Linked DNA regions of Xenopus tropicalis. The protein of the gene in region 5 purifies or fractionates together with the protein of the main gene of each other region. This does not show direct contact. Links are inferred from orthologs where the notes say so. Each region holds a gene or a part of one and is shown on either strand. Other genes may lie near its edges.

The links.
Region 1: the proteins of bcl7c (region 5) and smarca4 purify together in Homo sapiens (affinity purification with mass spectrometry; 6 studies listed by BioGRID and IntAct, counting the BioPlex papers as one, with this or other methods). This does not show direct contact. The link is inferred for Xenopus tropicalis from reciprocal best matches to the Homo sapiens genes BCL7C and SMARCA4.
Region 2: the proteins of bcl7c (region 5) and smarcd2 purify together in Homo sapiens (affinity purification with mass spectrometry; 3 studies listed by BioGRID and IntAct, counting the BioPlex papers as one, with this or other methods). This does not show direct contact. The link is inferred for Xenopus tropicalis from reciprocal best matches to the Homo sapiens genes BCL7C and SMARCD2.
Region 3: the proteins of bcl7c (region 5) and smarca2 purify together in Homo sapiens (affinity purification with mass spectrometry; 4 studies listed by BioGRID and IntAct, counting the BioPlex papers as one, with this or other methods). This does not show direct contact. The link is inferred for Xenopus tropicalis from reciprocal best matches to the Homo sapiens genes BCL7C and SMARCA2.
Region 4: the proteins of bcl7c (region 5) and smarcb1 purify together in Homo sapiens (affinity purification with mass spectrometry; 7 studies listed by BioGRID and IntAct, counting the BioPlex papers as one, with this or other methods). This does not show direct contact. The link is inferred for Xenopus tropicalis from reciprocal best matches to the Homo sapiens genes BCL7C and SMARCB1.
Region 6: the proteins of bcl7c (region 5) and smarcd1 purify together in Homo sapiens (affinity purification with mass spectrometry; 5 studies listed by BioGRID and IntAct, counting the BioPlex papers as one, with this or other methods). This does not show direct contact. The link is inferred for Xenopus tropicalis from reciprocal best matches to the Homo sapiens genes BCL7C and SMARCD1.
Region 7: the proteins of bcl7c (region 5) and arid1b purify together in Homo sapiens (affinity purification with mass spectrometry; 4 studies listed by BioGRID and IntAct, counting the BioPlex papers as one, with this or other methods). This does not show direct contact. The link is inferred for Xenopus tropicalis from reciprocal best matches to the Homo sapiens genes BCL7C and ARID1B.

Annotation. Positions count from the first base shown.
Region 1 is NC_030679.2:138,931,042-138,934,459, reverse strand, and holds the end of smarca4 (transcription activator BRG1), read right to left. Parts: intron 3,077-3,418; coding exon 2,858-3,076; intron 2,773-2,857; coding exon 2,519-2,772; intron 2,432-2,518; coding exon 2,323-2,431; intron 2,234-2,322; coding exon 2,132-2,233; intron 1,905-2,131; coding exon 1,772-1,904; intron 1,676-1,771; coding exon 1,530-1,675; intron 1,133-1,529; coding exon 1,100-1,132; 3' UTR 501-1,099; downstream 1-500. UniProt on the Homo sapiens protein: ATPase involved in transcriptional activation and repression of select genes by chromatin remodeling (alteration of DNA-nucleosome topology).
Region 2 is NC_030686.2:15,739,913-15,744,183, reverse strand, and holds the start of smarcd2 (SWI/SNF-related matrix-associated actin-dependent regulator of chromatin subfamily D member 2), read left to right. Parts: upstream 1-1,471; 5' UTR 1,472-1,503; intron 1,504-2,342; 5' UTR 2,343-2,389; coding exon 2,390-2,491; intron 2,492-4,271. UniProt on the Homo sapiens protein: Involved in transcriptional activation and repression of select genes by chromatin remodeling (alteration of DNA-nucleosome topology).
Region 3 is NC_030677.2:128,296,838-128,300,889, forward strand, and holds the start of smarca2 (probable global transcription activator SNF2L2), read right to left. Parts: upstream 2,801-4,052; 5' UTR 2,540-2,800; intron 1-2,539. UniProt on the Homo sapiens protein: ATPase involved in transcriptional activation and repression of select genes by chromatin remodeling (alteration of DNA-nucleosome topology).
Region 4 is NC_030677.2:153,151,373-153,154,077, forward strand, and holds part of smarcb1 (SWI/SNF-related matrix-associated actin-dependent regulator of chromatin subfamily B member 1), read right to left. Parts: intron 1,626-2,705; coding exon 1,494-1,625; intron 1-1,493.
Region 5 is NC_030685.2:5,705,624-5,709,052, reverse strand, and holds the end of bcl7c (B-cell CLL/lymphoma 7 protein family member C), read left to right. Parts: intron 1-379; coding exon 380-473; intron 474-759; coding exon 760-921; intron 922-1,007; coding exon 1,008-1,093; intron 1,094-1,239; coding exon 1,240-1,347; 3' UTR 1,348-2,929; downstream 2,930-3,429. UniProt on the Homo sapiens protein: May play an anti-apoptotic role.
Region 6 is NC_030678.2:148,811,972-148,814,557, forward strand, and holds part of smarcd1 (SWI/SNF-related matrix-associated actin-dependent regulator of chromatin subfamily D member 1), read left to right. Parts: intron 1-675; coding exon 676-773; intron 774-850; coding exon 851-986; intron 987-1,949; coding exon 1,950-2,072; intron 2,073-2,158; coding exon 2,159-2,260; intron 2,261-2,586. UniProt on the Homo sapiens protein: Involved in transcriptional activation and repression of select genes by chromatin remodeling (alteration of DNA-nucleosome topology).
Region 7 is NC_030681.2:52,290,117-52,293,616, reverse strand, and holds part of arid1b (AT-rich interactive domain-containing protein 1B), read right to left. Parts: intron 3,433-3,500; coding exon 3,228-3,432; intron 1-3,227. UniProt on the Homo sapiens protein: Involved in transcriptional activation and repression of select genes by chromatin remodeling (alteration of DNA-nucleosome topology).

The DNA.
Region 1 (3,418 bases), on a different chromosome or scaffold from region 5:
GGAGGGGTTGCAGTACACCGTGAGCCTAAGGGACATTTGGGAAGTGGTTTTATTTCTTGCTTTCTTTTAGTATGTGCAATTAGCCGTCTGTATATATTTATTCCGGCCCCTTTACATGGGACACTCACTCAGTAACTGTTTGGCATAGTTGTTCCATAGCAACTCACACCCATCCCCAGATGCAAAAGAAAGGCAAAAAGCAAGAAGGTCTAGCAGACGAACAGGGGGAACCTTACCCGCTTCCCATTACTCACCCCAAACCCTGAGGGAGTCTGCCCTACATACTAGGACTATGCCCAAATAATGCCAATAGCATAACTCTGGGGATCAGCATGCATTAAAGGAAGAGGAAACAAAACCGGCCACAATCATGACAGACCCGCGTTTTTTTTTCTTGTCTATTTATGAAGACTCAGCATTTTTATTCGGGTTCATCTCCCCCAAAAAAACAGTAAAAAAAAATCCATACAAAAAAAAAAAAAAAAAATAAGAAACAGAGCGAGGTATTCCATCTTGGGTTTAATTTATAACGGTTTGAAATCCAGTGACACTGACACACATACATACAGCTACCGCCGCCAGCCCCGCCCCTCCCTGTGCAGCAACATGAGGGAGGGGGAGGGGGACGGGACGCTGGGCTTGATTTTGACCTGTTTTTTGTAAAATACAGTACTAAAAGGGTGGATTGCTAACAGCATGCATCCACGGGGCCGACACTACAGTGATTCCATACTGTAACGCAAACAGTACTGCCGTAAAAAAAAAAATAATATATATTCATATAGAATCAGAAGTCGATCCTTTTAACCTATCCTGAGAGGCCGAGCAGTCGGGCCCGATACTTAATGCGTTTGCCTTGCTACAGACGGGCGCGTCCCTACATCTCATCGTTTATATAAATATGGAAGAATTTACTTTGTACAGCTCACTACATTTCTGGCTACCCGTTAGCGACCTACCGAAAGGAAGGGGTTCCGAGGAGGGAGGGGTGGGGTTTAGGGGGGGGTGCGTGGTACTTCAGGGGTTGGAGTCGGCGTTCCAGTGGCACGCTGTGGAATGAGACGTGAGGGGGCTTGAAGGAATGTTACGAGATTCTACTTCAGTCGTCTTCGCTTCCGCTCCCTGAGCGCTCCTACAAGACAAAAGCATGTTGAATATTTAAAACCCAGTGTCATACAGGCTATAGGTTTCCTGCGCTTTGCCCATTAAAGGGGAACTAAGCCCATATATAAAATATGTAAACTTATTTCAATTGGTCCTCTTCTGTAATTTACATTCAGTTTTAGTGGTTTGAGGGATTAGCAGTTTTAGGCTGCCAATATCAGATTTAAAAGAAAGATAAGCAGAAAGCCCAGTATTGCAGCCTAAAAATGCTAGTATCTCAGAAACTACTGAATATAAAAAAATAAATAGGGACACCAGCTCTCTCCTCCCTAAAAACCCCTTCTGCCTTATGAGACTACCACTAGACAGATGTAACCAGCAGATCTGCTGACTAAGGAAAGAGAAGCAGGGAGACTGGAACTTACATTGGCCTCTTCTTGTTCTTCCTCGCTATCATCATCGCTGATCACCGGCTTGGCTCTGCACCCTCGGCCGGTCCGCCTGCGTCCCTTCATCCTCTCCTGCCCCTTCTCCTTGCGACCCAGTTTAATCTTCACCTTCACGGAGCGAGCTGTTGGAGAGAACATTGGAACAGGAGTTATAGAATTACTTCCCCTATAAAGTCAAAATGACAACGCGGACAACATGGCGGTGTCGGCGTACTCACACTCAGACTCTGAGCCTTCTTCTTCCACGTCCTCCTCTTCCTCACTCTCCTCTCCCTCGCTCTCCTCTTCCTTCTCGATCTTCTGTCTCACACTGGTGAACACGGACTGGAGCACAATCGAGTCTTCATAGATCTGTAAAAAGAAAATGGACACCCATCATTTATCTAGCATTGCCATCAACCACTTGCTGGGACAAACATTACTTCTGTTTAACCCCATAACTGCCAAGCAATACAGAATTTATGCTGCTGCTGCTGCTGCAAAAAAAAAAAGGTTCCAGAGTGGCGGCAGCGTAGGTTCTACATTTACACACCCTTCAGCGACCAATGAAAGGATGTAAAAAGGTCAGTACTGCTTACCAAGGAGCCCTCCAGGTTGAAGGTCTGAGCATTCTGACACAGCAGCATGACGTCTTTCTCCAGATCATTTAGGCTGCGGTACTTATGGTTTCGGATCCTCTCCTGCAGAAACACAAGGGAGCTTTGGGTCAGATTGCTGATCACATGGTACTGGGAAGGTGAACATGACATCAGAAAGCACCGGCACTCACCTTGATCTTCCTGAAGTCCACTGGCTTACGGATCAGCTCGTAGTACTCAGGGAGTTCCTTACGGGATGGCAGTTGGATAAAAACTTCACTTAGCTGGCGCCCGTTTCCACTGAAAGACAGAAATACACATATGAGCTAGGGAACTATGGGCAACGGACTATGCAGCAGTTTATGCAGCAGTCAGGGGTCTCCTCACCTGTCTTTGTACTTAATGACGGCATCCACAATCTTCTTCATTTTCTTTGTGAGTTTTGGGGGGTTTGGGGAAAGTTTCTCGGCAGGGGGCCGCCCCCTCTTCTTCTGTTTCTTACCCTCGTCATCCCTCTCCCTGCCCCGTGTGCTTGTGGTGGGCATGACTATGCAAGGGTCTATATCTCTCTTCCTCTTGCGAGTGGTTTTCTTCTGGCGCACTTCTTCCTCAATCTCTTCTAGAGTGCCCTCTTCTATGGCCTGCGGGGAGTCAAAAAGGCACGTGAGAACCAATACACAGGGTCACACATGCTTCTCTTTCCATAGAGTGCATCTTATCTAGTACCTTCAGCCACTGCTTTTCCGTGAGCGAGTCACTATAATCCACCTCCTTGCGGTTACGGGAGCCGCGGCCAAACATCTTTTCTTCTTCTTCTTCGCAAGTAAGGCGCTCAACCTCGGCGTCGTCCTTAATGATCCAGGACGGCAGCTCATCTTCCTCCATGAGGCGAGGTTTGCGTTTGGGATTACGGGCTTCCTCTCTTCGCCTGTCCAGATCCATACGCTGGGAGGGGGAAAAACCACCAGCAGTTTGTATTAAAGGAAACATGCCAAAAGCAACATATAGAACTATTTCCATTACTTAGATAATAGTCTGAAGTTCCATATGCAAACTTATGTCCCTCTGCTGCTTGGGAATCCCACAGAATAATATTTGAAACAAATACAGATTCTTCCAATTGCCCTAAAGAAAATCAGCATAAGCCCCCATGTGTAATATAAGGCACTAAGTTTGCCCAGGAGCAGTAACCAATAAAATGCTTTTAAACAGGTGACCAGTAAATTCAACCTGCCGATTGGTTGCTATGGCTTACCAACATAATGCCTTTCATTACATAACCCCAAA
Region 2 (4,271 bases), on a different chromosome or scaffold from region 5:
GGGCATAGGTAGGAAAGGGCAGTATGGGTACAGGTAGGCAGATAAGGAGGGTGGTTGTAAGAAAGTGTATGCAAAGTGGGTGGGAAAAGGAAAGAAAGGCAGGCAGAGAATGTTGGCATTGGAAGGTAGAGAGTACAGCAAGGAGATGGCAGAGTGGGCAGGCACAGGTAGAAGGAGGCAGAGAGAGGATGGGCACAGGTAGGCAAGGCAAGGCAGAGCTAGGGTTGGGGTAGCAGGGTGTGCACATATAGAAAAGGGCAGGGGTGGCACAGGTACAGAGGGGAAGGGCAAAGGGAGTGGAACTGGTAGGAAAAGGCAGAGTGGGCACAAGTAGAGTAGTGCTGACAGAGAAGGTGGCACAGGTAGGACAGGAAGGCAGCGAGGGTGAGTACAGGTAAGGGAGGGCAGGCAGAGAGAGTGAGTGCAGGTAAGAGAGGGCAGGTAGAGAGAGTGAGTGCAGGTAAGAGAGGGCAGGTAGAGAGAGTGAGTGCAGGTAAGAGAGGGCAGGTAGAGTTAGTGCAGGTAAGAGAGGGTGGGTACAGGTGAGAGAGGACAGGCAGAGAGAGTGTGGCTAAGAGAGGGTGGGTAAAGGTGAGAGAGGGCAGGCAGAGACAGTAAGAGAGGGCAGGCAGAGAGAATGAGTGTGGCTAAGAGAGGGTGGGTACAGGTGAGAGAGGGCAGGCAGAGACAGTAAGAGAGGGTGGATACAGGTGAGAGAGGGCAGGCAGAGAGAGGGAGTGCGGGTAAGAGAGGGTGGGTACAGGTGAGAGAGGGTGGGTACAAGTAAGAGAGGGCAGGCAGAGACAGTTAGTGCAGGTGAGAGAGGGCAGGCAGAGAGAGGGAGTGCGGGTAAGAGAGGGTGGGTACAGGTAAGAGAGGGCAGGCAGAGAGAGGGAGTGCGGGTAAGAGAGGGTGGATACAGGTGAGAGAGGGCAGGCAGAGACAGTTAGTGCAGGTAAGAGAGGGTGGATACAGGTGAGAGAGGGCAGGCAGAGACAGTTAGTGCAGGTAAGAGAGGGTGGATACAGGTGAGAGAGGGCAGGCAGAGAGAGGGAGTGCAGGTAAGAGAGGGTGGGTACAAGTAAGAGAGGGCAGGCAAGGAGAGTGAGCACGGGTAAGAGGGGGTGGGTACAGGTAGAGGAGGGCTGGCAAAGACGAAAGAGAAAGGGCAGATGACAAGGGGAGGAGGGGAAGAGAAACAGAGGGAGGAGAGACACAGGAGGAGGGGAGGGGAGGGAAGGCAGTGGGAGGGCAGAGATGAGAAAAGGAGGTTTGTTGCAAAACAGCTCTCTGGAAGTGATGACACCAACAGAAAAACCTTCCAATAACTTCCTATGAGCCGCCCGACAGCAGCAGGAAGGGGAAAGTGCTGAGCGCTCGGTTTGCGCCCCGGGAAACTACAGCCGGAGGATCGCAGCGCAGGGATTGCGCATTGAGAGCAGCTGTACGGGCACAATTATACGGAGAGAGGCTGAACCCCGCTGGGTTTCACTGGGGAATCCGGTTAGTAGTGCTGGACTAGCTGTAGGATAGCGGCTTTGTGCTGTACTTAGCGCCGGGCTTACACGCGTGTTACTGCTACGGGCACACAGGGCTACAGTCTGATAGGCATAGTACTGATACTAACACGAACTCTATAAGCTTGTATAACTGAATAGGGCAACACGTAGAGGATAAATATATACACACAATTTATGTATAAAATGTGCGTGTGTGTATATATATATATATATATATATATATATCAATCCAAATGGTGTCCGCACTCCAAGGCTCAATATTCTGCGGGGTGCATAGCCAAAATTATGTATATACAGAAAATAATCATCTGTGGCCAGCACACCCTTCAATGTTTTATCAAAAATTTATTGAAGATATATCGTTAAAATTGTTTAAAAGTCAAAGTGCAAACAAACTAGCCAACACACACTTTGCGGGGCTGCACAAGTAGCCAACACACACAGCCAAGACTGCACAACTAGCCAACACATGCAGTTCAAGGCTGTGCAACTAGCCAACGCACACTTTGCGGGGCTGCGCAACTAGCCAACGCACGCAGTGCGGGGCTGCGCAACTAGCCAATGCACGCAGTGCGGGGCTGCGCAACTAGCCAACGCACGCAGTGCGGGGCTGCGCAACTAGCCAACGCACGCAGTGCGGGGCTGCGCAACTAGCCAACGCACACAGTGCGGGGCTGCGCAACTAGCCAACGCACGCAGTGCAGGGCTGCGCAACTAGCCAACGCACGCAGTGCAGGGCTGCATAATTAGGAATTCTACATTATATGATTCATTAGGAAGGAGGTTGTTCACACAGAGTATATCCCTCTTGTATATACACAGCATTCCTTCACCTGTGCACAGTAGTGCTGTCTGCTGTTTAACACTCCATGACCTCTCGGGGAGGATTACCTCTACCATCTGGGAGCCCAATGAACATGATGCGGGGACCAAACCCTGGAGCATACAGACCCCCAATGGGGCCTTACCAGGTAACCATTTCCAATAGCAATGTATTGTGCATTTCCATCTTCCCTGTGCTAGATCACTTCATTTAGAATTTAGAACATTGTTTATCCAGTTTTAATTGGGCAGAGTCAGTAGGTCCAAGTTGCTGGGTCTGTTAATAGTGCCTGACTATCACATGCCCGTTTGTAGCATGTGACTAGCAGAATCCAATGGCATGAAAATGATTTACGCCTGAAGCATGATTGTGTTTTATATGCCATAGCTGCATCCAAAGTCAGGCACTAGTGCACAGAACGCTTGCATCTATAGAATTGCACATTGACTGTGCTACTGGCAAGCTGCTACTTCTGGTTTCCAAATCAGACTAAATGCGACTAAATGTTGAGCTGACTGATTTGTGACTTGTGTAGCACACCAGGCCCTTGATCTAATATTTCTAGAGCATTTTTCGGATGCAATTGTGATCTGAAGCAGTCATGTTCAGTTACAGCTCAGGTGACCTATTGAATTGCATCGCAGTTGTACAATCCAAAGGTAAAGTCGTTGGTGTAAATAAAGACTGTGGATGTTTCACTTTCATCCAGTATCTTTCTAAATTCTTTGTGTAATTGTGAAAAATGAGACATAACATCTTCATGTGACAATCAGTGCACATCATTATGGTCCCAGGTAGGCAGGAGGAGAGTATAGATAAGGCCTTGATGGTTGCTAAGCAGGGCCTAGATAATCTAGGATGGCTTGTGTAACCATTCCAAGAATAATATAATAATAGTAATCCTACATTTTATACAATGGTGCATATCATGGTAAACAACTGATCAGTTGATTTAAATCTACTTCACTTTATAATTGTCTTTTCACTGCATGTCACTGTGGTGTGTTCTGGTATCGTTCACTCCTTTTTAATTTTTCATTTTCATACATATTGGTATAGTTCACCAGCAAATGGCATGGTCCGAGTTTGCTGTTGATCAGTGTGGTACAGTTTGGTATAGTTCATCACTGGTTGTTTGGAGTATGGTTGAACTGGTATCATTCACTGCCTTTCAGTGTTGTGCATGCTGGTATAGATCACTTTAGGATGGTCTATTCTGGTAGAGTTCACTGCCTAGGAATGTGGTATGTTCAGGTCTAGTTCAACACCAGTCAGTGTGGTACAACACAGTTAAGTTCACTCTCTGTCAGTGAGGTACATGCAAGTATAGTTCATCACTGGCACCTGATACCATTGGTAGATGTGGTGCATTCTTGTACAGTTCACCATTGGTAGATGTGGTGCATTCTAGTATAGTTCACCATTGGTAGTGTGGTGCATTCTAGTATAGTTCACCATTGGTAGTGTGGTGCATTCTAGTATAGTTCACCATTGGTAGTGTGGTGCATTCTAGTATAGTTCACCATTGGTAGTGTGGGGCATTCTAGAACATGTCCGCACTTCCAAATGTGGTGCATTCTAGAACAGGTCAGCACTGGCAGATGTGGGGCATTCTAGAACATGTCCGCACTTCCAAATGTGGTGCATTCTAGAACAGGTCAGCACTGGCAGATGTGAGGCATTCTAGAACATGTCAGCACTTCCAAATGTGGTGCACTCTAGAACAGTTCACAATTGGTAGATGCGGTGCATTGTAGTACAGGTCACCACTGGCAGATGTGGGGCATTCTACTGACCTCTACTTTTAATTTTAAATTGAATGGCCTTTATGATTGTCAGGTTTTCTCAGTCTCATTTAATTTCAGCCCTTTTAATCTAATTTTAAGATAAAGATCCATAGTGACCTATTAATATGAGGTAATGAGGAC
Region 3 (4,052 bases), on a different chromosome or scaffold from region 5:
TACTCAGACATTTTTGGAGACTCCCATTGTCTGCAGTAACAGCCCAATATCTGCTCCCTGTAATTTTCACCTGAATCAACGTTAATCCCGCCACTGAAAAACACTGACCCAAACCTGACCTAAAACTGACTAAAACTAACTAAATATCCTCAGAAACTAGCAGCATAAGGTAGATCTGGAAGAATGGCAATGGTGTAATAGACATGGCATTGTCATGGCCTGGCCTAGATTCACCAAGAACAAAAAGCCACCAGACTAGCATCTCTGTAACATGGGCTTGTGGGGTTTATGCAGTGCATCAGAAGAATTGTGGATCAGCTAGGCAATGTAAACTGAAGAAAAGGGAGTGTACCATTTGTAAATGAGGCACTGTAGCTGTAGTATCTACAAGTAGAACCTTTACCGGCAACTTGAAGTAATTAGTTCTTGTAGAATGTTAACAATATTTCAGGGAGAAATGTTGTCCTACTCTTCCATATAGATCCATATTGATGTTTGAGGGTAGTTGGTTATGCATAGCTCTTTTATGGGTCCATCATAACATCTCCATGAGTTTGAGGTCTGGACTTTGCCATTCCAAAACACTAAGGGGTATATATATCATGCTGTGTAAAAAGTGGAGTGAAGTATTTCCGGTGATTGTTGCCCAGGGCAACCAATCAGCAATTAGATTTCAACAGTTAGAAAATCAAAGCAAAGCATCTGATTGGCTGCTATGAGCAACATCAGCGGCAATGTTTTACTCCACTTTTTACACAGCATGATAAATATATCCCATAGCCATTTAGGTGTAAATTTGTAGGTGTACTGTCAGATAGCACCACATTTTGCTCTATAATTCTCTGGTATGAAGAGAAATTCATAGTGGACTCATTGCCTGTGAAATGTGCAGGTTTTGTGTCTTGGCAGTTTGTATGAGGTTCTTGTGTTATGTTGTTTTTCATCTTGGAAAGACAGGATTTTGTGCATTAGGACAAACTATTAATTGTCCGGAGGATGATTTTTCCAGAAATCTTGTGATCCTTTCAGATACAACATAGTCAACCTAACTGTGTTGCCATTGCATTTTAGAGTAAATGGGCTTTCTCTTGGCTATGTGTTCATGAAATATTTTATCAGTCTTTTTCTAATATTTGGGTCATGAAACTTAAATGGGTTGTTCACCTTTGTACAACATACACAAGTCTAAAGGTGGCCATACACATTAAGATCTACTTGCTTGGCGAGGCCGCCAAGTGAGCGGATCTTTTCCCGATATCCCCACCTACAGGTGGGCAATATTGGGCAAATTTATGGGGGCCAAGCGATCGAATTATAACGATGGCAAAGGGCGCATTGGGTTCCGATGTGGTTCCCGATCCGACTAAATTTTCTAACCTGCCCAAACGATATCTGCCCAATTTCAGGCCAGATATCGGTCGGGCATGGCCGTCGTTGCTGCCCCTACACAGGCCAATAAGCTGCCGACGGCAGCTACAATCGGCCAATGTATGGGCACCTTAACAGTTCACATTAAGAGAACAATCTTTTCCATATACATGGTTAAAGGGGTGGTTCACCTTTAAGTTAACTCTTAGAATTTTACAGAATGCCCTATTCCTAGCAGCTCTGCAATTTGTTTATTTTTTATAGTTTTTGAATTATTTGCCTTTCTCATCTGCCTTATTCCAGCTTTTAAATGGGGGTCACTGATCCCAGCAGCCAAAAACGATTGCTCTGTGAGGCTACAATTTTATTATTATTGTTACTTTTTATTACTTATCTTTCTATGCAGGTCCTCTACTATTCATGTCCCCATCTCTTGTTTAAACCACTGCCTGGTTGCTAGGGTAAATAAGACCCTAGCAACCAGATAGCTGCTATAATACCAAATGGAGAGATGCTGAACAAAAAGCTAAATAACTGAAAAACCAATGATTGTCCAGATTGTCTCAGAATATCAATGTCTACAACATATTAAAAGTTAATTTAAAGGTGAACTACCCCTTTAACTGAAATAAAATGTATAAATATACAGTATAAGAGCATTCTTTCAGAAGCACACAGAGCTAATCCTAGGTAAAGGTGCAGATGCTATTAATTCTGCTGCCTCAGGTCTACACTGATAAAACAATGAGAATAATGTGGAGAATGAAACTGCTAAGTTGCTTGTCACCTCACTGAAACTTCATTGCCAAAAAGAAGAGAAAGGGGATGAGCAGCTGTAAAGCTCAGAGAACTAGAGCAGCCTGCAGCACTGCCTTCCCGGCTTTGATGCCCAAAGCAGATTTCCTTATGTTCTTACACTCCATGCCCCCTCCCTCTGTGCAGGGCACCATGCCAGGCTTTAAATGACTGCGTGTCCCTATTGTGACCCACAAGTAAAGGTCTGAAAACACCTTACTTAATGTGAAAGGGTTAAAGGACTGCTGAAAAACAAATAAACTGTCTGAAATGTGGAAGCTGCCAGAGACTACAAGGCAAACACAATACCCACCTGGGGAGGATGGGGTTAAGGCTGAGCAGATTAATAACAAAAGGTAAAGCAAGCCTTTCTTACCTTCACCCCTTACCGAAGAGCCAGAGCTTGAACCGCTGCTTTTAGTCCTTCTACTTCGCTTTATGTCCCTGTCCCTGCAGTCTGTCACCCTGACGGGATGAGGAGCGGATAATGCTGCTGCTGAGGTAACTGGTCAGTGCCACCTTTTGACCAACCCGTGCCCGCCTGTCAGTGCTGCAGACACGCCGTCACTCACAGGGGCTGCAACTCTCACTGGCAGCCGGGCCATGAGATCATTATCCGGATCATGGCCTCTTCCCCTCCTGCTCAATCCTTCTGCCAACTCCTCCTCCTCCCAATTCCTCCTTGGTTTTATTTTTAATCCTGCTGTCTGTAGTTTTCCTCTGCTTTGCCACTTCCTCCGTGAAGAGGGTGCCAAAACCACACCTCCTACATAGTTCAGCTGTGAACAACTGCACAGGCTATAGAGAAAGAGAGAGAACTCCTTCCAATAATCCCCCACAGCGCTCACTCTGCTGCCTTTGAGGGGGATGCTTGCAGGTGACTGGTGTAGGTGCCGGTATAAAGGTGCCACAAAATGACAAAATGAGGGAGCAGCACATTTGTTTTCACTCAGAATCTGACCATACATATCCACATTCTCACAACTCCTCTCTAAAGAGCATCTTTTTTATTTTAAACACAGTGGGGACAGGGCAGGTGCCATGGGTGCAGTGAATTGTGGGTGAAGGTGTCAGGCAGTTCCCCCTTTCATTATTGGCCAGTAGAGGATTACTAGAAGGTTTCAGGCTGTTCAGCCCATATCAGCCAGTAATATGAAATTATGAAATGAAGAAAGTTTATATATATATATCTATATATATATATATATATAAGTCAAGCTGTGTCCGCACTCTAAACCAGTTTAACTGGTGAGTGCTGAAGTCAAAATATGTAAATACCTATAAACAGGACCAGCACTTCATTTCACAGCAATTCTTCTATTTATTCATTCACCGTGTGTGTGTGTGTGTGTGTGTGTGTGTGAATGAATAAATAGAAGAATTGCAGTGAAATGGTGTGCTTGTCCTATATATATATATATATATATATATATATATATATGTAAAACCTAGCGTATATTGGTGCACACCGGGAATCATTTAAAACATAACTTTTATTAAATAGTTAATACATTAAAGATCAGTCTAACATTTCGGTCTGCATCTAAGACTTCCTCTTGATAAAAGTCTTAGATGCAGACCGAAACGTTAGCCTGATCTGTAATGTATTAACTATTTAATAAAAGTTATGTTTTAAATGATTCCCGGTGTGCACCAATATACACTATATTTTCTTTTTTTCAATGCTCAGTTGGTTGCACCCGGGTCCATTGACTACGCTCAGGAGTGCTGAATCCATGCGTGTTATATATCTATATATATATAAATATAATTATGGTATTTTTACAGACAAACCCTCCCTCTCATTAAAAAAGCAACAAATCTGGCGTGTGTTTTAGTAAGACGTTTTACATATTGAGGGACAGACAGGAGATGATCAGGGAGTGGCT
Region 4 (2,705 bases), on a different chromosome or scaffold from region 5:
AAGCCATTGTTTAAAAACAGACTAACTTCACTATGACATTTAAAGAAACCTTGTCTGAATAAACATGACAATAATGAAAGACAATACTGGGATACTGTTGAAAATCTAGTCCATGTAAATTGCGTTATTAATATCTATTTTGCTAATGTCAGCAAAGAAAATACTAACTGGTGACAACACCTCATTAAAATCTGTATCTAAAAATAGGCTAATTATTCACAAGACAACAAAGGTCAGGAACAGACATGACAAACATTATTAATTGTTAGCGTCAAGCCCACTAAACACATAACTTCACCCTTTAAAAGAGACTGTGTACCAAAAAGTGCAGAATTCAGCCTACCCAGAGTATGTCCCGCATTACTCTGAATGGTGTTACAGGACTTGGGCAGTCCAAAAGTTATTTAAAAGCAAAGGCCATAAACAAATTACAAAATAAAGTGCGGATGACATTTAATACATAGAACTGTGTAGAACTATTCTTTGGGATTGGCTCTCTTATCAATTAATAAAGCCAACAAAATACATAGACAGAAGTTTTCATTGCCAGTTCTGGTGGGTTCAAATAACTTTTTAAATAATCACCCCAACGTGGAATATTCTTCCAACCTGTACAGTGTTCCTTACCCTCCAAGGAAACAATAATACTGCAGCTACACTGTCATATGCAGTGGAGAAGAAATGTCACAAACTTACAATAATACTGCAAATATGTATTTCATAAAGCCACCAACTCTGCATAAAATAGGGAAATATTTGGCCTGAAACATGCATCAGCATAACTATTCTCTACAGGTAAAGGTATACTTATTAAGCTTACCATATAAAGCAAAATTCTATCTAGTTTAACAAGACAACAACAATTGTTTTGGCACCAGATTTTAGATATTGCTGGACAATATAAAGAACACTAAAGCTACCTATGGAATTCAAGCTGCTAATTAACATACATGGTTCTGCTGTGGCCACTTGTTTTAAATAGGGATATACCCTACGGCTGTTGGGATCTTAAATGAAGTGTTTTGCATGTTCCACTGGCAGAAAAGAATACTGGAGAATGTCAAGTTTATCTCAATGTGAGACAAGGGAGCAGAAATTTGGAGAGCTATATAAGTACATTGGGCACTAAGGCCAATTAGGGCTAAAAGAATAAAAAGAGAGAATTTCCTAAAAAGACAAAAACTGGCAAAATTGGCAACAGATGGTGCTACTAAGCTAAAGGCGAGCACTGGGAGAAATGTCCAATCCCACCAGCTAAAGTCAGATTAAATACCAACACATCACTTGCAAAGTGCGATAACGATTAAAAGTGCAGCTCCATCGGCTGAAGCAACGACAGCACAGACACAGATAAAGACACATCACGTCATAGGCTGGTGCGCATAAGCTGGAAAGTTTTCCTCGCAGATGCTCCGAGGAAGTTCCACCTTGTTGTCTATATTCTACCCCGGCGGGAAGCCCGGAAGGAAAAGCGTATGAAACGGCGGTGGCACCTGGTGTTCCGGTCCTGGTCCCGGATCTTCTTCTCCATTTCGGCATCAGTGAGGGTCTCCAGGAGGGGGCACCACTGGTCAGCATCGCCTGTATTTCGAATAGCAATCTCTACTGTCGGCAGTGGGTTTTCACTGAAACAAGAAAATAATGTGAGAAGGACATGACTATTAATGGGAGTTTTAAAAGCATAGAAACCATATAGAAAGGCACAAAGTTTCATAGCCACATTGGGAAATCCTATAAGTACTAAACATTTGCCCTAGAATTATACAGTTGGCAAGCAAAACAAATTTCATTTTAAAGTCAGTTAAAAGCAGACCCTTTTTTTCATGACTATCTCATAACCAGCACTAAGCAGAAGACACAGCTGGAGTGGCTGATGAGGAGGAAAAACATTTGTTTGTGTGTGAAGTACAGGATATCAGAACATTAATTGTGACTCTGATAAAAGAGCCACGTCAGATAAAGGTTTACATACTCAGAAAATGTTAAACTGATCCAAATGAATAACAAGAGAAGCCTTCTAGCTATGCAACTTAGCGCTAGGGAACAAAGGAAACAGATACAGAAAGACAACATGCAATTTTTTTTTTTATTTGCAATAATGAAATTAAATGGACACAAGTTTTTATGCGTCTTGAAAAAAATAGGTAATGTTTGGTAAAAAGGGGGAATATGCTATAGGAATTTAAATTAAAGAAAAAATCACTAATCTTTACTCACTTATTGTACACTTGCATAGACCAGTGTCATTAAATGGTCTCCATCCCTTTTCTTGAAATAGCAGCAGTCCTGTCTTAAAGGAACAGTAACACCAAAAAATGTATATATTTTAAAGAAATTAAACTATAATGTACTGCTGCCCTGCACTGGTAAAAATTGTGTGTTTGCTTCAGAAACATTACTAGAGTTGATATAAACCCTGGTGTGTAGCCATGGGGGCAGCCATTCAAAAGAAGAAAAGGCACAGCTAACAAATAAACCCTGTAGAATACAATGGTGTCTTATCTGTTATCTGCTATGTAACCTGTGCCTTTTCTTCTTTTTTCAGCTTGAATTGCTGCCCCCGTGGCTACACAGCAGCCTATTTATATAAATTAAAGTAGTGTTCCTGAAGCAAACACACGAGTTTTACCAGTGCAGGGCAACAGTATGTTATATTTCAATTACTTTAAAATACTTTCATTTTTTGGTGTTACTGTTCCTTTAAA
Region 5 (3,429 bases):
CTCCAGAACATCTCAGTCCCTACTATACTCCCCCAGAACATCTCAGTCCCTACTATACTGCCCCAGAACATCTCAATTCCTTCTATACACCTCCAGAACATCTCAGTCCCTACTATACTCCCCCAGAACATCTCAGTCCCTACTATACACCCCCAGAACATCTCAATTCCTTCTATACACCTCCAGAACATCTCAGTCCCTACTATACTCCCCCAGAACATCTCAGTCCTTGGTATAAACCTCCCTGCAGAACATCTAATTACTTGCAATAAACTTAGAGACCACCTTATTCCTTGCTGAAAACCTGCAGAGCACATTTCTCCTTACTATAAACCCCCTGCTAATATCTCTGTCCCACCCAAATGATCCCCTTCTGCAGGAGAAGCCTGGGGCCCAGACTCCCACAGACCAACAGAAGCGCAGAGCACAGAGGCGCAGGAAGAGCCAGGCTCTGCTAATGATGGAGATCAATGGTGAGAGAAGTGCTGGGATTGGGCAGCTCAGAATGGGAATGGTCACATGTTACTGGGTAAATGCCACCTGGGCAGGTGCTTTATTGGCCTTTTTCTTCTACCACCATTTACATTTCTGTAAATTATTATTTAGGATACACGTGTGCCAGTAAGTCAGGGAATCATGTGACATCACTAAGTGCCAGTTAGAAGTGATGACATCACTAAGGATTATTTATGAGGAAGTAATTTACAGGGTATTTATTGGTTAATATAAAAGCATAACGGGTGCCTCTGTGCCAATTAGATGACAGCAATAACAGTTCCTTCTCGGATGCCTCTGGGGCGAGGGGCGAGGGAAGCGACAGCCCAAGTCGGACCCCCGAACTGAGCCGCAATGTCAGTCCCTGCCCCTCATCCAAGCCAAAGACTGAGGACTTCCAGCCCCCTGAGTTGGGCCAAGAAGGGGGTAAGAACCATAGAGATGACTTCTGGGTGGGGCTGAGGGGCAGAATAGGGACAGGGTGGGACTGATTGGTTTATTTGTATGTACAGATGGTGCCCCCCTGCTCCCCATCAGAACAGATGAACCCCCAATGTTAACCAAAGAGGAGCCGGTGGCTGAAACCCCTGCAGCCCAGGTGAGTGACATGTTGGGACCTTGGGTGGCACTGAGGGGCTTCCAACTGAATCTACAGCTGATTGGAGGGTTGCCTGGCAGTCGTTATGTGGCACTTAGTGTCCTACTAGGGATTCAATAGAATCTTAAATTCTCCCTTCCCCCCAGGTACCCAGCGCTGCCGCCATGTTCCCGCCTCTGACAGAGGAGGAGGAGTCTCTGGACGCCCCGGCACTAAAGAGATTCTGTACAGACCGAGACATAATGGGCAGATAATCCTCACAGGCTGGCGGCCATCTTACTACTCCTCTCGCATCTTTTCCCGCCTTCTATTCTCTCCACAAAACCAGCTTTTCCCTGTGGAAAGATGAACAAGTGCGTCTGACTGTAACCCGGAAAGTGACCCCGGGACCCCGAGCCCCCATAACAGTGAATTCCATCGCCTGTAGAGAATCAGTCCTGTTGGCCATTTTGTTTCGCTTCATGCCCCAAGCTCCAATGGCTGCCGCTCTCTCTGGGGGTTGCGACTGCTGCACAATTGTATCACTGCAGCCTCTGGTATCCACCATTATATACTCCTCTTGTGGGGAGTGTCATGTTGCCAGGACACGCCCCTCTCTTACACCCTAGCAACCAGGCTGCAGTTTCAAATCCAAAGCGGAGAAATGCAGAAAAATGTATAAAATATACAATTTTCCAATTTATATTTGTCTTTCTGTACGAAGTATAAATGTCAGTATTATATATTATAATATCCATGTCATGCTGATGGAATCTGCAGCGCTATATAAATATATACTTACACCAATACATTTAATTCTACTGACAGACTGCGCTCCTGGGCCCTGGCACTTGTGGCCCCTGATTGGCCGGATTTTGCCCTTATACACAGTGGCGTTTTATAAGGAGAATCTCCCAACCGTTGTCATACATTCTTTTGCACTTCCAAATCCAACCACCAGATGTCGCACCTTAGTGTATGGATAGGAATGAGTAAAAAGCAAAGGAAGCATCGCCATCTAATGGACGAAAGTGGAAATACATCTATTGGGCGATTTCTCATTATTAGCGTTGTTGCTGCATGTTTATTCACTTGTAAATGTAAAGTCCCTTTATCTCTCCAATATATAAAATACCCAGAAACCCTCCCGGGACTCTACTCTATTTTGTCTAGACAGCTGCCCCAGGATTGAGCATGTGTCTCAACCCCTTCTCCTTGTAGAGTGTAAGCTCTTTTGGGCAGGGCTCCCTTCCCCTCTTGTATCGGTTACTGATTGCTTTATATGTTACTCCTTGTAGAGTGTAAGCTCTTTTGGGCAGGGCTCTCTTCCCCTCCTGTATCGGTTATTGATTGCTTTATATGTTACTCCTTGTAGAGTGTAAGCTCTTTTGGGCAGGGCTCCCTTCCCCTCCTGTATCGGTTACTGATTGCTTTATATGTTACTCCTTGTAGAGTGTAAGCTCTTTTGGACAGGGCTCCCTTCCCCTCTTGTATCGGTTACTGATTGCTTTATATGTTACTCTGTATGCCCAATGTATGGAACCCACTTATTGTACAGCGCTGCGGGGTATGTTGGCGCTTTATAAATAAATGTTAATAATAATAATGTTGCAGACTACACCAATTCCCAAGCAGCCATGGCTCATGTATCTAAACTAATTACTAATGAGCTCTGAGCAGCGAATTGGCTTTGCATCTGTGTAGATAATAAGTAATAAAGTGGTCGGGTAACACTGTCCAATCAGGGGTTGCACCATAAAACCGGGCAAATGTTAAATACATTTATTCCCATTCATTCCTAATAATGCAGGGCAGCCCTGGGCACTGCAGGGTTAAACTGGGAACAAATTAAACACATTGGGTTCATTTTCTGTCTTTTTATTTGTTACAAAATAATCGATTTCCAGTGAAAAGTCGAATCTTTATCACGTACAAAACAGTATAAAACAATGGGTGCAACAGGGAGCCGGTCCCACCCACAAGGAACAGGGATGAGCCAAAGGGCATCGTTGTATGGAATTGCCCACAGATCTGGGGAAACTGGGCTGAAGAGCTGACAATCAGATTGCATGTGAGTGGGGATGAGAAACTATCATTGTCGATTACCGATCCCCCCCCCGCAGGCCCAGTGTGGGGGTCTGTGCAATTCAATCTGTAGGGAAAGAAAACAAATGATCAGGGAATGTTCCATCTCATCCCTCCTCTTATCTAGATTCGGTATTTGGCACAACCCCGAAACCTTCATGAAAGTTTCAGCCGAATCCGAATCTGCATCCGATAATAGTGGATTCAGTGCATCCCTAGTTACGACCCCATCATAGACTTCACACTGCTTATTGTCAGTCTAAATATTAGGG
Region 6 (2,586 bases), on a different chromosome or scaffold from region 5:
AAAAGCGGATTATTTGATGCAAGTAATTTCTGGTGCAAAATAGACTACAGGCTCTATCTGCTTCAGGTTATTATGTTTGTCTGTATGGGAGCTACCCAAATGCTTAGAGACTCTACAGTGTACAGTAGTATTTTAATGAGCAAACCATAAGCTAAAGTATAGATGGAGAACATAATAAGCTCTCTGGGAATAAAATTGGGATGCTGATAGCCAGTACAGGTTATCAGGTAATAAAGCATGTTTCATATTAATAAGAGTTATCAGTCCTGGTTGGCTTTATGCTGGTCATATTTTTTGGAATATCTTACTAGATGACCCACAGGGTAGGCTGTTGTATACATTATGGTTCACACCTGTATAGCTACATCTTTCTAATCAAATTGTTCTGATTCCCTAAGTGGACACCCATGCAGTTCCAGGGAGGCTGTTTAACTCATATACTTGTTTGGCATTATTGAATTCCCTGTCTCTTTGTATCCTATGTCTCTAAAAAAAAATACAGTAACAAAGTTCATATGGCAAATATTGTATATATCACAGTATGTGTTGACCCTGTTTGTACTATTGTATTATAAAAATCTATAGTGCTGCATGTGCAGTAGCAGAATATAAACAATTTTCCATACACCTTTTCATCAGCAACAAAATGTTTTTTTTTTTCCTTCCATCCTCCAGATATTTGAGTCTCAAAGGATGAAGTTTTCAGAGATCCCACAGAGATTGCATGCCCTCCTCATGCCTCCAGAACCAATTATAATCAATCATGTCATTAGGTAAGATGTAGTTCTGTTAGATACTAGTCTGTGATCCTAGTTACAAAATCACCCTGACTTTGTTCTGTTTTAATTAGCGTTGACCCTAATGATCAGAAGAAAACTGCTTGTTATGACATTGATGTAGAAGTTGATGATACCCTAAAAACTCAGATGAACTCCTTCCTGTTGTCCACTGCCAGTCAGCAGGAGATAGCTGCTCTAGATAACAAGGTGAGAGATAAATGCTTTGAGCTGGAATATACACAACATGGCTTCCCTTATGCATTGAGTAGAGTGGGTAGTGGGTGCTGAATAAAGCAAAGGCTGGGGATGCATTTTCAACACAAACTTGTTTGCTTGGTTAGGGTATTTGGCTGCTGTTGGGTAGGTGGAGGGCCAGGGATGAAATTGCTATCAGACATCTGAGCTGTTCAGGTGAGGGGAGACTTGCAGGAGTGGCCCTGGGCCATGTTGAGTCTTAAGTGGGTCATATTTGGTGCAGGCCTGCCCAAACCTACGAGGCCTCAAGGGACCAAACTATCAAAGAGATATTGGTGGGGCATGCAGGTGTTCTAATTGGTGATCTCGACAAATAAGCAGATCTTTTAGTCTATGCCCAGCTTAAGGCCTCCCACAACTTTTTTTTTTTTTAATAAAGTGCAGCCTGAAAGTAGGCCAGAGCTGGTAGCTTAAAGGGGTTGTTCACCTTTAAGGGTAACTTTTAATACAGAATGGCCAATTCTAAGTAACTTTTCACTTGGTCTTTATTTTTTTCTTCTGACACATTCTAGTTTTCAAATGGGGGTCACTCCAACAGCCAAAAACCTGATGCACCATGAGGCTACAATTTTATTGTTATAGTTCCTTTTTATTACTTATGTTTCTTTCTATCCAGGCCCTCTCCTGTTTATATACCTGTCTCTCATATAAACCGCCCCCTGGTTGCTAAGATCATTTGAACCCCAACAGCCAAATAACTACTTTCCAAATCGGAGAGTTGCTGAACAAAAAGTTAAATTAAAAAAAAGCACTAATTGCAAATTCTCAGAATATTACTCTCTACGTCATAGAATGTTAACCCCAGCTGGTGCAGTTTTCTCCTAACAGGAGCACAGTAATAATTGTTCACTCTGTATCCTGTACAGTTATAGATATTGTCTGTAAAATCTTTTTTTTTTTTTCTCTTTTTAACAGATTCACGAAACAATTGAAACTATTAATCAGTTGAAAATTCAGAGGGAATTTATGTTGAGCTTTGCCCGTGACCCTCAAGGATTTATTAATGACTGGTTACAGTCACAGTGCCGGGACCTCAAAGTGAGTACTTATAGGATTAAATATTTGTCATGTGAATGAAATTTCTGACCATGTTGTAACCGTTCTGTTGCCTCTTTTCCCATTAGACAATGACTGATGTGGTAGGTAATCCTGAAGAAGAACGCCGAGCTGAGTTTTACTTCCAGCCATGGGCTCAGGAGGCTGTGTGCCGGTATTTCTACTCCAAGGTACGAACAAGCTCTTTTCCAGGGTTTCATGCTGCCATTTCTCCCCCTTTTTTTTTTTTTTTAACATAATTTACAATAATGGTTAAGATCTCACTTAATGCAAATTAAAATTACAGTCATTTTGAAGGGGCTTTTATGTCTTTCAGTCACCATTTAATGAGACAAAGATTTCCCTTGGCAGCAGTGCAGTCAATATATATGAGCCTTTTAGGAAAAGAATAATTCATCCTCTTACAGAATAATTCATCCTTTTATGGATCCTCCTGTATAAAAAGTGCTTGATCCTGCAAGGCTGCAGCTTTTGCTGCAACGAGATATATACATAT
Region 7 (3,500 bases), on a different chromosome or scaffold from region 5:
GGAGGGGTGAGCGACCTTGGGGTGGACCACGGAGAAATCTGGGCCTGGGTGTGCATAAAGAGTTTTTGAGTGAACACCCGCCAAAAAGGTTTTTTTAAAAAAGAGCACATGGTTTTAAAAAATTTATACGAATGAAGAATTTTTTTTGCACTCGCCCAAAAAATCCTTATTGCCACCCGGGGACTCGGGACACGGTTTTCCTTGCCGTTAAGCTACTGCAGTTGCAGCTATGGTTCCTAGACTATAAACAGTACTGAAAAAGGTTGGTCTTACTGAGAGATGGCAATGCTAGGGTTTTTTTAATACAGCAATGTCATATTCCGTATCTTTACCAAGTTTATACATCATTCACAACAGTACCTGCCCCAGTGGAGCTTACAGTCTAAAGTCCCAATCACATTCACACACACACTAGGGATAGTCGTATCATGACAACTGCCAGGATGTTATTTTGTAATGCTACACCAGTCTAGAAAAAATGATTTTTAATTAGTCACATGAGACTAAAAAAAAACCCCAAATTGTTGTAGAAAAATGGGGCATAATATCCATTTGCATGAGCCAGTGATTTGCCAGGGACTGAGAAAAGACAAGGCAGTCTCCCAGACAGTAGGTTAATATCTGGCAAGAGATGATATGCATACCTACTGGCTGCAGTCTGAGGCGCACACTATAAAGTAAACAAAGGAGAGGTTATTAGAGGTTAAGTGCAGTGCATTTCTCAGAGTGAGCAGCCAGCACCACGCTGGGAAGATAATTTACACAGCATGAACCTACTGGCCTAATTCTGGCTGAGGTAGAGGGATAGGGTGGGGTGGGAGGAAATTGCAAGCGCCCAAACACGTCACTAGTTTTGCTCTGAGCAGAGGTCAGAATGAGGACATCTTTGTTTACTAAAGCAGGGAAGCCCATGAACAACCCCCTCCCTCCTCTGTGGGGATTCCCTGTTGGCTTCTGGACAGATTCTGTGACATCACCTGTCAGCTAATAATAGCAAAATCAGCCCGTTTCATGCCTGCAAAGATTAATGGTTTTTGTAAGCTTGCTGATTAGGGCCAGGCTCTCAGCTGTGCTTGGATTGGTCTCTTTTATTCCCTTTTCTGAAAGCCTACTCAGTGGAATTCGCTTTGATGACTGGGCTTATATCTCTGAAGCGAGGCTATTATTTATGTAGGAAAATGCTATGGCAACTTTGCAAATGTAAAAATGGAAAGATTTACTGGGTTTTTGACATGGACCCATTTGTATGGAATACAGATAAGCGGTGAGGATCTGTAAATTAGTAAATGTAGAAACTGTGCATCTACGTCACACCCTGCCTTCTGAGTGTCCATAGTGGGGTTTCCAAATGCAGTGGTGTCTAATAGCATTAAAGGATCGCTGTCATGGGAAAACATCAGTTAATAGAGCTTCTCCAACAGAATCCTGCATTGAAATTCGTTTTTCAAAAACACAAAGATTTTTTTATTTTTAATTTCACATAAGTCTAGCCATATTCTTCATTTCCCAGAGTGCCACAACGATGTGCTCTGATAAATTTCAGTCACACTTTACTGCTGAGCTGCAAGTTGGAGTGATATCACCCCCTCCCCCCAGCAGCCAATCAGCAGAACAATAGGAAGGTAGCAAGATAGCAGCTCCCTGGCACCTGTATTGCTAAAAGTGGTAGATATCAGAACAGCACTCAATAGTAAGAAATCCAAGTCCGGCTTGCAGCTCCCCCAGTTACATGGGAATAGAAGAAACAAAAGGTTATCTGAAAGCAGTTCTAATGTGTAGAGCTGGCTCCTTCTGAAAGCTCAGACTCAGCCTACACACCAATATTACAACTAAAAAAAATAATATATAATATATGAATAGTACCATAAAAATCATGACAGAATCCGTTTAAATGCTCTCCCAAATTCATTTCAGCTTGCAAAATCGCGATTTCGTCTTCATTTATACACTGCTGAAATTGAACTGGGTTAGGCATGGGCACATGGATTAACAGTAGGTGGGTGGGTCTGAAAGGTGTGGGGCAGCGAATTGGGGCTAGGGTGCTGTGCTTTGTTGTTTAATTGGTCAGGCCTAACCTGCAGATATCTTGGCAGTGGGAGATGAATAAGTAGACCTTTTTAAACATACAGTATCACACTTTTGAGTGCTCTATTGAGTTGCATATTACATTATAGGTAAAGTAGCATTGTACGTAGAAGCTGTGTTGGTGCACAACTAATACTCTCTCAGAAGTAAGTGGTTGCAAATGTGAAATAGATAATCTTGAAGCTACACCCTGCTTACTTTAGTGTCCTAGATTGGTACTTTAGGCTTTTTAAGTGTTTTATCTTTTGATCATCCCCTCAGCGATGTGCCTTTTAGGATTGTGAATAAATATAACTTTTTTTTTTTTTTTATAAGTGCACTAAAATCTTAAACTTATAAATACTCACCAAACCAGGATGAGCATCATTCGATGTGTGGGTTGCCAGACATAGCTCTGAAGATGACACACTATAGATGAAACCATATTCAGGCAAACTATTTGTAGGCTGTAGAACATAGGAGCTATCGCTCACGCTTTTTTAGAAATTTTTTTTTTTTTTTTCATTTTTTAATTTAACATTTTCTGTCAGCTCAATATTATGTTGTGTGTGCACAGGTCAGAATTTGTGTGTAAACAAGTGCACAGGTCAGACTTTGTGTGTAAACAAGAGCACAGCTTAGAGGGATAGTGGTGGAATGAAAATAAAGGTATGGTCATGGCCCAAGACAAAATGGAACAGCAAAAGCACTTCCACGCCATGATCCAATCGATCATCAGTCTGTTGTCCATATCCATGTTAATAACTTCACACTGAAGTGAACCATAATCATTTAGATGCATTTAGCATATCAATTTCATCAAGAAACTGTGCTGATTTATGCAGTAAATTCCTTGCTTACAGTGGATCCCTGAACAGACCTTTAATTGGCATCTGATTGTACCAATTAATTCCTAAAATCCTCCATAAAACACATGAATTGAGAAGAAGTGGGACAATGAACAGCTTTTACGCTCAAGATAACTGAACCAGACTACATTTTTGTTGTTTTCTTGCTAAAAAAATGTTTTGTTTTTCAAAAAATGCCCAGCCATATATTCCTGTCATGGGGTGGGTAGAGGTTTCATGGGAATTATAACTGGACATGATTTCAGCTGCTGCTGTGGCACTTGAGGTAGAACTGGATGCATTCCTTTTGCTTACCAGGAGATGGCGGCTGAATCTTAGGCTGCTTCTTTGACTCTCCAGGATTGAAAATCTCTGGAGGTGGCTCCTCCCCTCTCTCAATCTTGCATTCAAAGGCAAACAGATACTGTATGTACTGCTTTTTCAAGGAGCTGGCTGCACTGCTAGAGGTGCCAACATTCAGATTGCTTGACAGCTCTCGCCACTTCTTGTTTTTATTAACCTACAATAAAAAGAACATTATTGCGGTTAAGCACATGGTTCTGTAATCAGCAGAGGGGGTAAGGAAGA